Rhinolophus ferrumequinum: one gene and its partner. Each later gene encodes a partner of the first gene's protein in a complex. Links are inferred from orthologs where the notes say so. Each region holds a gene or a part of one and is shown in the gene's direction. Other genes may lie near its edges.

The links. The genes of interacting proteins can lie anywhere in the genome.
Region 2: SPAG5 (region 1) and KNSTRN share a complex: the UniProt entries of both Homo sapiens proteins name them as parts of the astrin (SPAG5)-kinastrin (SKAP) complex. The link is inferred for Rhinolophus ferrumequinum from reciprocal best matches to the Homo sapiens genes SPAG5 and KNSTRN.

Annotation. Positions count from the first base shown.
Region 1 is NC_046304.1:18,833,782-18,840,205, forward strand, and holds the start of SPAG5 (sperm-associated antigen 5), read left to right. Parts: upstream 1-3,429; 5' UTR 3,430-3,518; coding exon 3,519-3,569; intron 3,570-3,787; coding exon 3,788-3,913; intron 3,914-6,424. UniProt on the Homo sapiens protein: Essential component of the mitotic spindle required for normal chromosome segregation and progression into anaphase. Required for chromosome alignment, normal timing of sister chromatid segregation, and maintenance of spindle pole architecture.
Region 2 is NC_046289.1:64,663,260-64,669,683, reverse strand, and holds the start of KNSTRN (small kinetochore-associated protein), read left to right. Parts: upstream 1-2,501; 5' UTR 2,502-2,512; coding exon 2,513-2,600; intron 2,601-6,107; coding exon 6,108-6,136; intron 6,137-6,424. UniProt on the Homo sapiens protein: Essential component of the mitotic spindle required for faithful chromosome segregation and progression into anaphase.

The DNA of each region.
Region 1 (6,424 bases):
ACACCAACCCTGCTGACATCCTGATCCCAGATTTCTAGCCTCCAGAATTGTGAGAAAATAAATTTTTGTTGTTTAAGCCAGGCAGTCTGTGGTATTTTGTTATGGCAGCCCTAGCAAACTAGTACAACCCCAATGAAGAGTTCTAATAGATTAATCAGGAATGATTATTTTATTTACCAAAAAGCATGCTATCTTCTTCTTCTCTGGTTTTGCTTATATTCTGAGAACATGTTATTTCTGATTTCTTTGGCCTCTCTCTGAGTTTTGCTGGTTTATGGAGCTGTTGACACTGCCTCCTTGGTGCAGTACTCCATTATACTCAGGAGCAAGGCTAATCGTTCCAGTTTCATCCTTGAGTTCACTCAGAAGCACTGCCTGGTGGATACTTCTGAGTGGCTGATTCGGGTTATGTAATTGGATTTTTACAAAATAAGTAATGTCTAATCCTAAAATTTAAAAGCTACAATTGTTTTTAGTTGGATCCCTACTTTATATCACAAACAAAACTTATTTCCAGATACATTAAGGCTTTGAATGTGATCATCAAAACATTAGGAATCTTAGAAGAACATTTGGGAGACTAGACCTACAATCAATCACTGGAGGAGATGTGTAAACCAAGACAGAAAATGAAAGCACTATAAAAAAGGAGAACAGTGACATCAAAATTTGATGAATGAATGACTCAAGATAAGAAATCCACATGCTCTGAAAGGAAAGATAAACATTTTGACCACATAAGTTTGATCTTTGTGTGGCCAAAGATACCATTAATAAAGTCAATAGACAAAAAAAAAAAAAAATACTGTAATGTGATGACAGTTAATGTCTATAACAGAACTCTTAGAAAAGAACCTATTTCTTTTTTAAGGGCCAGGAATATGAAGTGACAAATTCATAAATCTGTATCAGTTGACTTAGAAGGATCTATACATCAAATGAGGAAAAAAATGCAGAAGTCTAAGAAATGCCTTTTTTTTTTTAAAGATTTTTTTTTGGGGGAGCGTGAAGGGGAACAGGACTTTATTGGGGAACAGTGTGTACTTCTGGGATTTTTCCAAGTCAAGTTGTTGGCCTTCCAATCTTAGTTGTGGAGGGCACAGCTCAGCTCCAGGTCCAGTTGCCCGTTGTTAGTTGCAGGGGGCGCAGCTCACCATCCCTTGTGGGAGTCGAACCAACAACCTTGTGGTTGAGAGCCTGTGCTCCAACCGAGCCATCTGGTCACCTGGGAGCTGAGCGGCAGCTCACTGACTTCATTCTAGTTGAGGAGGGTGCAGCTCACTGGCCCATGTGGAAATTGAGCCAGCAGCCCCATTGCCCAGAGCTTGCACTCTAACCAACTGAGCCACCTGTCTGCCCAAGAAATGCCATTTTTGTAAAGGACTCAATGCCTTCTTCCTCTCCGTGTGTGTATGTGAGACAGAGAATGTGAAAAAGAGAACATGAAAGGGAAAGAGGGGTAATGCAAGTGGAAAGACAAGAAAAGATCTCAACTTGAGACCCCATTCTGCACAATTTTTTGGGGGAAAATGTGTGCGTGTATAAATAAACACAAAACCTGTGTGTGTATGTATATGTTCTTATAAAGGTGTACACACTATTGGTTACCTCATTCAGGGGAACCTTTGCCTTTAATCTTTGTATTGTATTGTTTCACTTGCTAGAAAAAGCATCTATTATTTTTAAAATCAAAAAGATTATACAAGACACCAACAACAAACTAATTCTGTTTATGTTACGTATTTACAATGGTATTTTCCCTCTCATCTACCCCTCCATATCCCTCTTAAATTGCTTCAGGAAGCGCCATATCCCTTTGGCTACTCACCTGGCATCTGACATACCAACTGCAACAAGAACTAAGCATTTCAATTCATACATTTCTACAATACAAGCGTTTACTGCTGGCACTTGAGTTTTCTGTCTTGGTTTTTCTGTCACTTCCCACCTTTGTTTTCTTTGCTAAGTCTTTTTGACCCTAAGTACATATATCTTGGGATTCCTTCTGCTGAGTCTTGGGCAATCCCAGGCTCAAGTTTGTGCTGTTATGTTGTCTTTCTCCCAGTTTTCCTTCCATAAAGCAACAGTTTTTTCTAGTGCCTGCAGGCTAAGACCATTATGATTCTAGAGCAGTGTTGTCCAACAAAGATGTAAACCTGTAAGTAATTTTAAATTTGCTAGTAGCTGCATTAAAAGGTAAAAAGAAACAGGTGAAATTAATTCTAATGTATTTTATTTAACCCAATATATCTACAATATTTCAACATGATATTTTAAAAATAAGATATTTTACATTATTTTAAATACAAAGTCTTCAAAATCTAGTTTGTATTTTATACCTATAACTCATCTCAATTTAGACTAGCCACACATGAAGTGCACAATAGCCACATGTGGCTAGTGGCTGTAATATTGGACAACACAGTTCTAGAGGAACCCACCCCTGTGGGCTTTGCAGTTCATAACATTATAGTTCCTCCTCTTTGGAGTATTGCCATTTCCAAACTCATTAAGACTTCAGATTGTAAAGGTGCTGTAAATGTTCAAAGGAACATACTTTATCATTAACTTTCAATAGCTAACCTTTAGGCTGTTTCCAAGACTCAATTCCACCTTAAATGGCTAGATTTCCCATACAGAGCGGATTCAAGCGACAGGAGAATGTAGTAGTAGTTGCTAGTTGAGCTGGAATCTTGACGGCTTATTTACTACCTGCATTGGGCAAATTACATGATCTATGATTCAGTTGTTTTGTCTGTAAAATGGGGATATTTACGGTACCTACTTCATAGATCCTTATGAAGTAAGGATCTCCGTGTGTGTATGTGAGATATTATATATAAAGAGTTAATATATATAAAGCATCTGGCATAGTGCCAGGTACATGGTAAATGTTCAATACATGTTAGCGATTGTTCCAGTAAACTCATTGCAGGCGCTCAGGTAAGTCCCAAGATAACAAAAAATTCTCAACGGTTAAATTACAGCGTGGGTTGAGAACTACGTCTCAGGCCATTTTCGAAGCAGGACCTATGAGCGGACTGACCAAGCCTAAATAAAAAATGCTCCACTCACCTTTTCCTTCCAGACTCCCTGGCCGGCTCTTTCTGGTCAAGGCGCGAGGTAAATAAGGGAAACCTGAAAAGATTTCCTAAGGCCAGGCCACACGGAGACAACTTTTCTGACAGGGTTGAGGGTGGCCCTGCTACCTGGGTACCCTCCTCAACATGAGGTACCGGCCTTAGGCCTAGCACACATCCTGCCCTGCAGCCTGCGTCTGTAGTGAGGGGTCCACCGCGAGAACACGCGCGACTAGGGGTCGGGCGGGGCGGGGCGGGGCCTGCGCTGGCTCCGCCCACCGCCAACCGGGCTTGATTACTGAGCGGACGCGCCAGCCTGACGCCCTGAGGCTCCGCAGCCAATCGGTAAGCGTGGAGCAGTTTCAAATAAAGGCGACGGGTGAACTGGCCGTCAAGTCTTGGGTCTGCGAGGTCATCGTCCTGCGTTCTGTGTTAAAAATGTGGCGGGTGAAAAAACTGAACCTTAGCCTGTCGCCTTCCTCGCAACCGGTGAGCGGGAGAGCCTCCTGGAGAGAGACTGCTGGGTCGAGCCTGGGGTCGGAGGTGGTGGGGTGGGGGGGCCTGTGGAGTGTTCTGTTGATCCTGCCGCTTCCGCGCGCCTGGAGTAGGAGTCTCTTATTGACCTGTGAGCTTCTTAGGGAGGGAGAAAGGGCGGGCTGGCAGACAGAGCCCAGGCTTGCTCACACTTTCCGTTCTTTCTTTCTCAGGGAATACCAGCTATGAGAACTCCTCTCCAAGAACTTAACCTGCAGCCCGGTGCCCTCACCAACTCTGGAAAAGGGCCCCCGATAAGCTACTCGCTGACCCCATCACTGTGCAAACTGGGGCTGCAGGTGAGATTCGCCTAGCCATCTTCTCAACTGGGCTCTTTGCCGAGGCGGAGAGCTCAGAGGAACAGAGGGCCAGAGCTGGAACGTAATTAATAACGATAATGAAGTCTTCTACCTCAGTGACATCCATTTACAGCTATTCAGGCCAACAGAGAGGTGCCCTAGGGTGGTTAAAGAAAATCCACTGAGAACATGCACCTCTATTTAGCTGCTAGATTTTATCACCTCCTCCCCTGTTCAATCTACCGAACTACATAGAAATACTACCACTTTGATTAGTAGTCTCCCTCTAACATGGGCTCCTGCAGAGGTCAGACAGCTGCCAGAGTGAGGCAATAGCCCTCCATCCTATTTTTTCTCTTTCTGATAATGAGAACTATATAGTTTACCATATGTTCCTTCTTGCTCTGGCTACTGGAAAGCTCAGGGTCAAATTTGATCATCAGGTGTAGATAGCTACTGTTACTCCTTGAAATAGGAAGATTTGCTTCCCTTTTTTTGACCATGATTTTGTATTTCATTAACCTGATCAATTGACCAATTGATCTCTGTTCTTTTTCATGAAGTCTGAATTATTTTTGGAAGGAGATGGGATATAAATAAAGTAGGTTAGAGGAGGAAAGAAGAATATATAAAGACAGATGGTAGCCTGAGTACATATGTATGAAGGTAGCAGTCTTTCTTGAAAAACTCTTAACACCTACTGTCTAATAGAATTTTCTGGGATGATGGAAATATTTGATTATTTGTGCTATCCAGTGTGGTAGCTATTAATTACGTGACTGTTGAGCACTTGAAAGGTAGCTAATGTGACTGAGAAACTAAATTTTTAGTTGTATTTAATTTTAATTTAAATAGCTACATGTGGGTAGTGGCTACTATTAATATATTAGCCAGTATAGCTTAGGTAGAAAAGAAATAAGTACTAAGTGGGAAGTGATCTTCATAGAGCGTATAGAATTTAACCATAGTCATTTGATCACAGTAGGAATTTAGGATTCTCTCCTCCTAATTAGAGGGCTTGCTACCTGCTGATATAGTTGGAAAAGAGTTTCTTTGCTATTTAAAATTTTGATTATTTATATAGTGTACATTGTTTGAAACATTTGCACAATATATAAATAATAAGAAAAAATATGTTTCTGTTATCTTAGATAACTACCATAACATATTTGAAAATCCTTTCTTGCATCTCTTTATGTGTGTCTGTTTGTATATGTTGATACATACACACATCCATAGTAGATTATTATACTTTTTTGTCAAGGCATTTTTTTTCCTTTTTTGCTCTCTGTCATTTTTGTTGCTTAGCTTCACTTTTCCTCTGATTTGCCCTTCCTCTGGAATTAATCCCTCCTACACTTGTCCTGCTCGTCCCAAGTAACCAATTCATTTTAACATCCTGTTATGTATCCTTTCATATTTTTTCTGTGTTCTTTTAATAATAACATGCAAACATACAAAATTATTAATCAATCACAATATATAGTCAATTCTTATGAGTAATTATGTTCTATAAAGTCTCTGTGAACACTTAATTAGCAAATACTGAACTGATGCTCCTAGGGAAAACACAGGGTTATGTTCCTGCTGACTTCTGATCAAACATTTGCGTTAACCAATCAATACATAACCTTATTTTATGTGTGTTTATGTTTTAAAACACTTTATCTAATATATATTGTCGATTCATTAACATTGCACTCATGCCTGAATAAAGCTTATGTAATGCACATAAAGCACATCACTGCTTTCTTGCACTTAGCACTTGAGCACTATGTTTGGGGGCCATTTAAAGCAGCAAAATCACCAACAGAAAGCACAGAAATGCGAAAACCCTGGCACTAAATAGATTATGAAAAGCAGTATGACAGCTAAAGTAAGAGGCAGAATGTCACCTTGTTCTCTTTCAGCTGGGAATGTGTGTTTCAGGTGATTCATATTTTTCGCCACTCTGCATGTCCACAGATGATCAAAAGTGCTGCAAATATTGATTTTGGGGTTACAAATAAATTTTAGTGAGTATGCAATTTCACAAATACTGAATGCATAAAAAATGAGGATCGACTGTTTATATTTCTCTGTATGTTGCTTTTTTCATTCAACAATGTGGTGCAAATCCCTCCAAGTCAAAAAAGCACAAAAATGTGAAAACTATGACATAAAGAGTTGATGTGGAACTAATCCATGAGATACTATGGTATGCATGAATCATAATTCATAAATGGTTATTTGTTTCATTTTTTTTGCTTCTATAAACTTAACATAAATATCTTTATGCATATATTAGGTACTGATACTTTTATTTTAATGAGATACGTTTTCAGGAATAGCATTGTTGGGTTGAAGGAAAGATGTTTTTCATTGTAAGAAATTTTGCTAGATTACTATCTGAAATAGTTATTTCTCCAGTATTGTATAAGGATATCCATTTCCCCACATCACTTCTTGTGGTAGTTATTAGAGATCTTTAAAATTTCAGCCAGTCTGATGTGGAATCCCATTGTTATTTTA
Region 2 (6,424 bases), on another chromosome or scaffold:
TGAGTGCTGGGTGGGGGAGGACAGAGCCAGTTCAGCCTCCTTTTCTGCTGTGCCTCTCAGAGGGCCCTGGAGAACCCCTCAACCTCCTGACTCCTGCACAGCATGTGGTGTGAAAACCCCTGACTCAGGCCATTTTACAGATGAGTATTACAGAGGGGGAGGGAGTTTCCCAGGGACAGTCTGTGGCAGAGCTGGAGACAAATTGGGCTGTTTTGTTTTTATCCTATATTGTGGAGACCCGCCTCGCACCCCAAGCAGCCCATGAAAAGTGGGACAGAAACCCAAATGAGACAGGCATTGTGGGAGAGACAGAAGACTGTGGACAGGGTACTTTGCAAGATAAATAACTCCCACCCATTTGACTCGACACCAGGAAGTGGAGGGAGTGAGTCGGACCTGACTTGGACCTGTGCCCGTGGGGGTCTGCTTGGGCCCCTCTCTCCTCATGTCCAAATGGAATTGAGCCTCTCTGGCTTCGGGCTGCTCCTCGGGGTCCTGACTTCTCGGCACCACAGACCATGTCCTTCTGTTATCACACAGCCAGGCTGAGAGAGCCCTGGCCTCACCTGGGACAGTCAGCCAGAGGGAGGACAGGTAAGCCCTTCCTCCTGAGCATGAGCAAAGTCTGGCCTTGACTCAAAAGAGAGTCCAGCATTGTCAATACTTCTCAGCAACTCACTGAGGTTCTTCTGCCCTGTGCTGTGGGAGGGCCCCCGGGACCTGGACCAGAAAGAACCTGCTCCTCTACACCCTCTTTTGTGTCTTTCTGGGGCAACATTGGTGTCTGGGACTGGAGCTTCCAAAGCTTTGCCAGAACACAACCACTGAAATGTGAGAGCCAGGGCACGGGGTGGGCACCAGGGATTTGGGCACACCTGAGGACCTTATCGGGGATTTCTGGGTCCCATTCATCCAGGCCATGGCCATACAACCCTACTGGACGGCAGAGGAGCCACAGAAGCTGATGTACTGACTGGATTTGTTCTGTGTGCCTCTGGGCCCAAAGGACTGGAAGAACCCAGTGGCAATCAAAAACTTCACCTCGTACCAAGAATGGCCTACACCCAACAGCAGACACCCCACTTCAGCGGGTAATCCAGCCTGCCTCCCTAGCCCCAATTTTGGAAAGCATGATTTAAAGCATTTTCTATTTCCTTTGAGTTTCCGCGGATCTAGTCACTTTGTTATTATTGTAGGTGGTTACAATCAGCCAGTGGCCCAGGACCTGTGGGGAGAGGCTTAGACGCATGCTGTGAGGCCAGGGAAAACCAGTCAAAGCATTCACATTTGGTCTGGAAAATTCAAGAAATGGTCTCTTACCACTGAGACACTTTAAAATACAACTACATTGACACTCATTTGGGACTTGAGAGTGTTTCTCCTATTCGTGTCACAGATCCTTGAACTCACAGATTATGTGTGGTGTGTTTTTAACATGTAACTCGGTATAGTTTGTTACTGTGGGAAAACCTGTCCTTCCATGGCTGTGGCGCTTTTGTGACAACGTTAAACAGAGATTGATTTGACTCTCAGAATCTTAGATTCTGGCACATGGCATATGCTATACCATGGTATTTAGGCAACATCCCAGCTTGAGCCTGATTCTGAAAACGACATCTCATAAGAGATTTATAAGCCAAACTTGCTCAGCCCCCTGCATCTCATTCCATTCTTCTCCCAGTGAATGACGGACAGGGAGGCAGAGGAGGGGTATCAAGAAAGACGATACATTGATTTACAGCCTTCAGCCGTTGTCTGGAGAATTCCTGTTCTTTTATTCCATGGTGGCCTCATCTCGGCTTTGGATAATACACATGGCAATGCCAAGCCCTCTGGCACCCCTGCCATGCATCAAGATCCCGTTTGCTTGGGGATAGGAAAAGCAGACATTCCTCACCCTTTCTACCCTTACCCTTGTTCATAGGGGCATCGGTAACTCAAGGAGTGGAGGTATTTATGTTTAAGAGAAGAAATTGTAACACAATTCACCAGGAAGATGAGAAACAAAAGAAAGCCATTATGTGCTATGTAAACGGCTAGCTGTCCCAGGCCACCTTCGCTGAAGAGCCCTGGAAGGACTTTGATAAACTTATAATTATTATCAGGCCTCTGTGTGGTTATTCATGTTATTCCTCAGCGTAGGAAAAAGATCAGCATTTTACCAAATTCACAAACATTGAATAAGAGCTTCAGTATTGCTAAAGAAAATCACACAGGTGGGCAGAGTGATGCAGATCTGAATTCATGACCTTCAACCTCAACTGGAACCTCAGCCCTGCCTAGCTAGTTTCCATTCTAATTACTAGTTTCCATTGTTTGTAATGACCATTTCATACTTTCTCTACCTTCCCCAGATATCTGACGCCCTCCACCTTCCACACCTCCACTTTCAGTAGACAGCTCATCCTTCATAAAGAAAACTGGAGGTATCAGATAGAAGTCCCCAACTTACCTCCCTCTGCGCCAGCCTGCTTCTCTCCCCATCCCTTCTGTTACAACAAAGGAAGCACTAATGGCTCTATCAATGGCTTCACACACTGCACCAGAGGCCTTCAAACTAAGGCTTGCATTCCCACAGCGACATGAAGTTTTTCCAAAAGGTAGGTAGACACAGACAGTTTTTAAGGGAATCGATTTCCAGAACTTCTTCCTTCATAAGTTCCCTCTCCTCTTATTGATCAGCCTAAGAAGGAGCCTTAGGTCAGCCAGTTCTGCTTGATCTCCACTTTCCCAACTGACTCCCTCCTTCATTTTGAATCCTACTCTGGCACATTGCTCTGCAGTATAAAAAAACAAAAGGACTACTTGAGAGTACTCGGCTTGAAGAAGTCCTTGAGAGAGCAAAGCCTAGAGAGTTGGCTTTGAAAAATTTTGAAGGGGACAGCCCTGTAGCTCAATTCTGTGCCTTCTCCATTTAATTTGAATTCTTTATTTTAATTGAAAAACAAAATTTAAAAAAAGTTTTTTTAATAAAACAAAATCTGACGTTTTCTGATGGAAAGTCAATCTCATTTGGCTGATGGGTTTGACACAGAGGACTGGCTTTGCAAATAGGATATATGGTGGACATTTTCCAGAAATGGAATCATTTAAATCTGAAGCTTCATGGTTTGAACAAAAATATATTTAAAGTACATATACAACTTCCCCTTGCAGCCAAGATCGAGTAGCAGGAACCAGATTTACCCTCCTTTCTAAAACAACCCCCCAAACAGAAACAACAGTTTTCACAACTCTGGACATAAGACAACAAAGGACAGTGATCCTGATGGACAAGAAACAAATGAGGTGACCCTATGATTGCCTGGCTTACTGCTTGAGAGAGTTTCCAGGATGTATTGCAGGGAGGGAGAACCCAGGCAGGGCCATGCAGACTTCCTGAGCTGAGGAGATAGCTCAGAGTTTGGGGCAACCAAGGTAGCTAGAGTGCTCAGGACAGAATACTGGAGAAGAGAAAAGTGCGCAGAGAGAGAAAGAGAGAATTCTGGAGATCTGCAAAGGGCTTCCCTCAAGTATTCAGCAGAACACTGCTCATTATATAAGTGTGAGGAAACTATTTAAGACCAAGGAAAAAGAACCATCAAAATGATTAGAGGGAACAGTAGCCACTAGTCGCACAGGGCTGGAACATTACCTATTCCCATTAGCCAGACTGGAAAACCTCATAATTTATGGAGCATTGGTTAGAGTTCTCAGAAGGATCTTGCCTCAGTAGTGAGGACTCATTAGCCCTAGTTTAAACATTGTTCATTCCCACCTAACAAATCTTAAAAGCAAGACCTGACAGGATCAAACTCTTTCTAAGTAATGTAACTGCATCCCAGAACAAACCTCCAAAATATCTACAGGAACACAAAACCAGCACTCAAAAATGTAAAATTCACAATGCTTGAGGTCTAGTAAAATTACCAGTTATGCAAAGAAGCAGGAAAATATGACCCAGAGTGAGGAGGAAAATCAATTGGCACCAACTGAGAACTGATACCTGTATGAGTCACCTGACAAGGACATCCAAACGATTATTATAACTGTATTCCATATATTCAAATAGCTAAGTAGAAACTTGGAAGATATTTTTTCAATACCCAGATTGAACTTGTAGAGATGAAAACTAAAATGTCTGAGATGAAAAAGCAATGGATGAAATTAAAAACAGTTTAGACATTGCAGTAAAAAGATTGGTGAACTTGAAGACATAGCAATAGAAATTATCCAGAATGAAATACCAAAAGAGAAAAGAATTTTAGAAATGAATAAAGAGCATACATAATATATAATATTGTGTTCCCCTAAAAATAAGACCTAGCTGGACAATCAGCTCTAATGGATATTTTGGAGCAAAAATTAATATAAGACCCAGTCTTATATAATATAATATAATATAATATACCCAGTCATATATTAATTTTTGCTCCAAAAGATGCATTAGAGCTGATTGTCCAGCTAGGTCTTATTTTCAGGGAAACACGGTAGGTAGAAAGTGTGTCCTTTACAAATATTTACAATTATGAAAATATTTAGGCATTAACTACAAATGGGTGAGAGGGTACATTGTTTTTTTTGTTTGTTCATTTTATTATTTGTGGGAGTACATGAACAAAAGAATTTGAAGATGCTGCTGTAGACCCCAACGTCCTTTCCTCTTTCTCTATGGCTTTGCTCCTTTGATCATCCCCTCTGTCCTCTGAAGCAACCTTTTCTTCCTCTCAGCTGACTCATTCCCATTGGCACATGTATCAGTTAGGATCTGCATCTTCGAGATTCCCCCCAGCCCACCTCCAGTTACTGCCCAATTGCTCTGCTCCATTCACAAACTCTCTATACCTGCCATCTGCTCCCCCAGCTCTCATGTACTCTTCAACCTGTTCCAACATGGCTTTCACTCAAACCCCTCCACCAGAATTTCTCTTCCTATACAATGACTTATTTGTTGCTAAATTAAAGGCTCCTTTTTATTTCCCATCTGGCCTGCCCTTTCCGTTATTTTCAATAGTTTACCACTCCCTCCTTCAATAGTGCCTTACTTCTTCCTTCTTAGCTACTAAGATACCACCATTGATTTGTTTTCTTCTCACCTCTCTGGCACCTCTTTATCAGGTCTCTTGGCTGTCACCTTTTTATTGTAACCTTTAAATGCTGCTGTCCCTGTCGTTGGCCCTAAGTGTCTCTGTACTTTTTCCCTCGGTGATCTCATTCAATATCATGGATTTAAATGCACCCATATACACATGACTCCCAAGAGTGTATCTCCAATCTAGACTCTCCTCTGGGCTCAAAGCTGGTATTTCCAACTGCCTGCCTGACAGTTTAAACACTTGAATGTCTCAGAGGCATTTCAAATTTACCATGTTCAAAACTAAACTCTTAATCTCCCCCAACACAAAATAGTGAGTATCCACACAATTATTCAAGCCTGGGAGTAATCCTTCAGATCGCCTTATCTCTTATCCCTCCTCCCCCCGCCACTTCCAATCTAGCACTGAGTCCTGAGATTCACCTACAAAAGCCAAGTCTTGAATGTGTCTGCTTCTCTCCATTTTCACTAAACCACCACCATCATGGCCAAGCCACCATCATCTCTAGCTTGAAGGATGAGCCTCCCAGTGGTCTCCCTAGTTCCACTCGTTTCCTTCAATCCATTCCCCCCAGGAGTGGCCAAAATGAGCTTTTAAAAACATAACTTGAGTAATACTCTCCTGCTGTAATACTATAATGGCTTCCCATTACTCTTAAGATAAAATCTCATTTCTTTATCTTTGGCCTACAAAGGCTGCCATTCTTCCAGCTTTATCTGTACCACTCTCCTTTCATCTTTCAGTCCCTTCTAGGAGAAAAGCCCATTCCTGCCTTAGAACTTTGCATTTCTTCCCCCTCTCCCATTGGTCATCTGTTTAACTCCCACTCATCCTTTGTTAATCAAACGTTACTCAGATGTCTTCCCTGACTCCCCAATTTAAACTAGGTCTCCCTGCTTTTCTCCCTAATAGTACATTGTATTTTTCCTTCATAGTTCTACTAGTTGGTAAATATGTATTTATTTGGTGTTTGTCAGTTTTATTGAGATATAATTGACAAGTTCGTGTGACTATTTGTTTACTGTTTTCTAGATTGTAAACCCCAGGACGGTAGAGCCAAGGTCAGTCTTGATATTTGCTGCACCACCCCCATCAGCCCACTTACAATAGTGGTCAGGCACATGGCAGAAACTCAATAAATATTTGTTGACTGAAATGAATGAGTGAATTAAGTGCTTGAGAACTCTGCCCTGATCGCTAGGAGTAGCTTTGAATTTCTGCTTAAAATCTGGATAAGTGCTATTAAAGTTAGGACTACGGGCAGGTCCCCCAGATATTTCAGCCCACAGATCCTCTTCAAACCTGTATTGTGTAGTTTGTGCCCACCCAACTACCCTTTGATTTTGGCA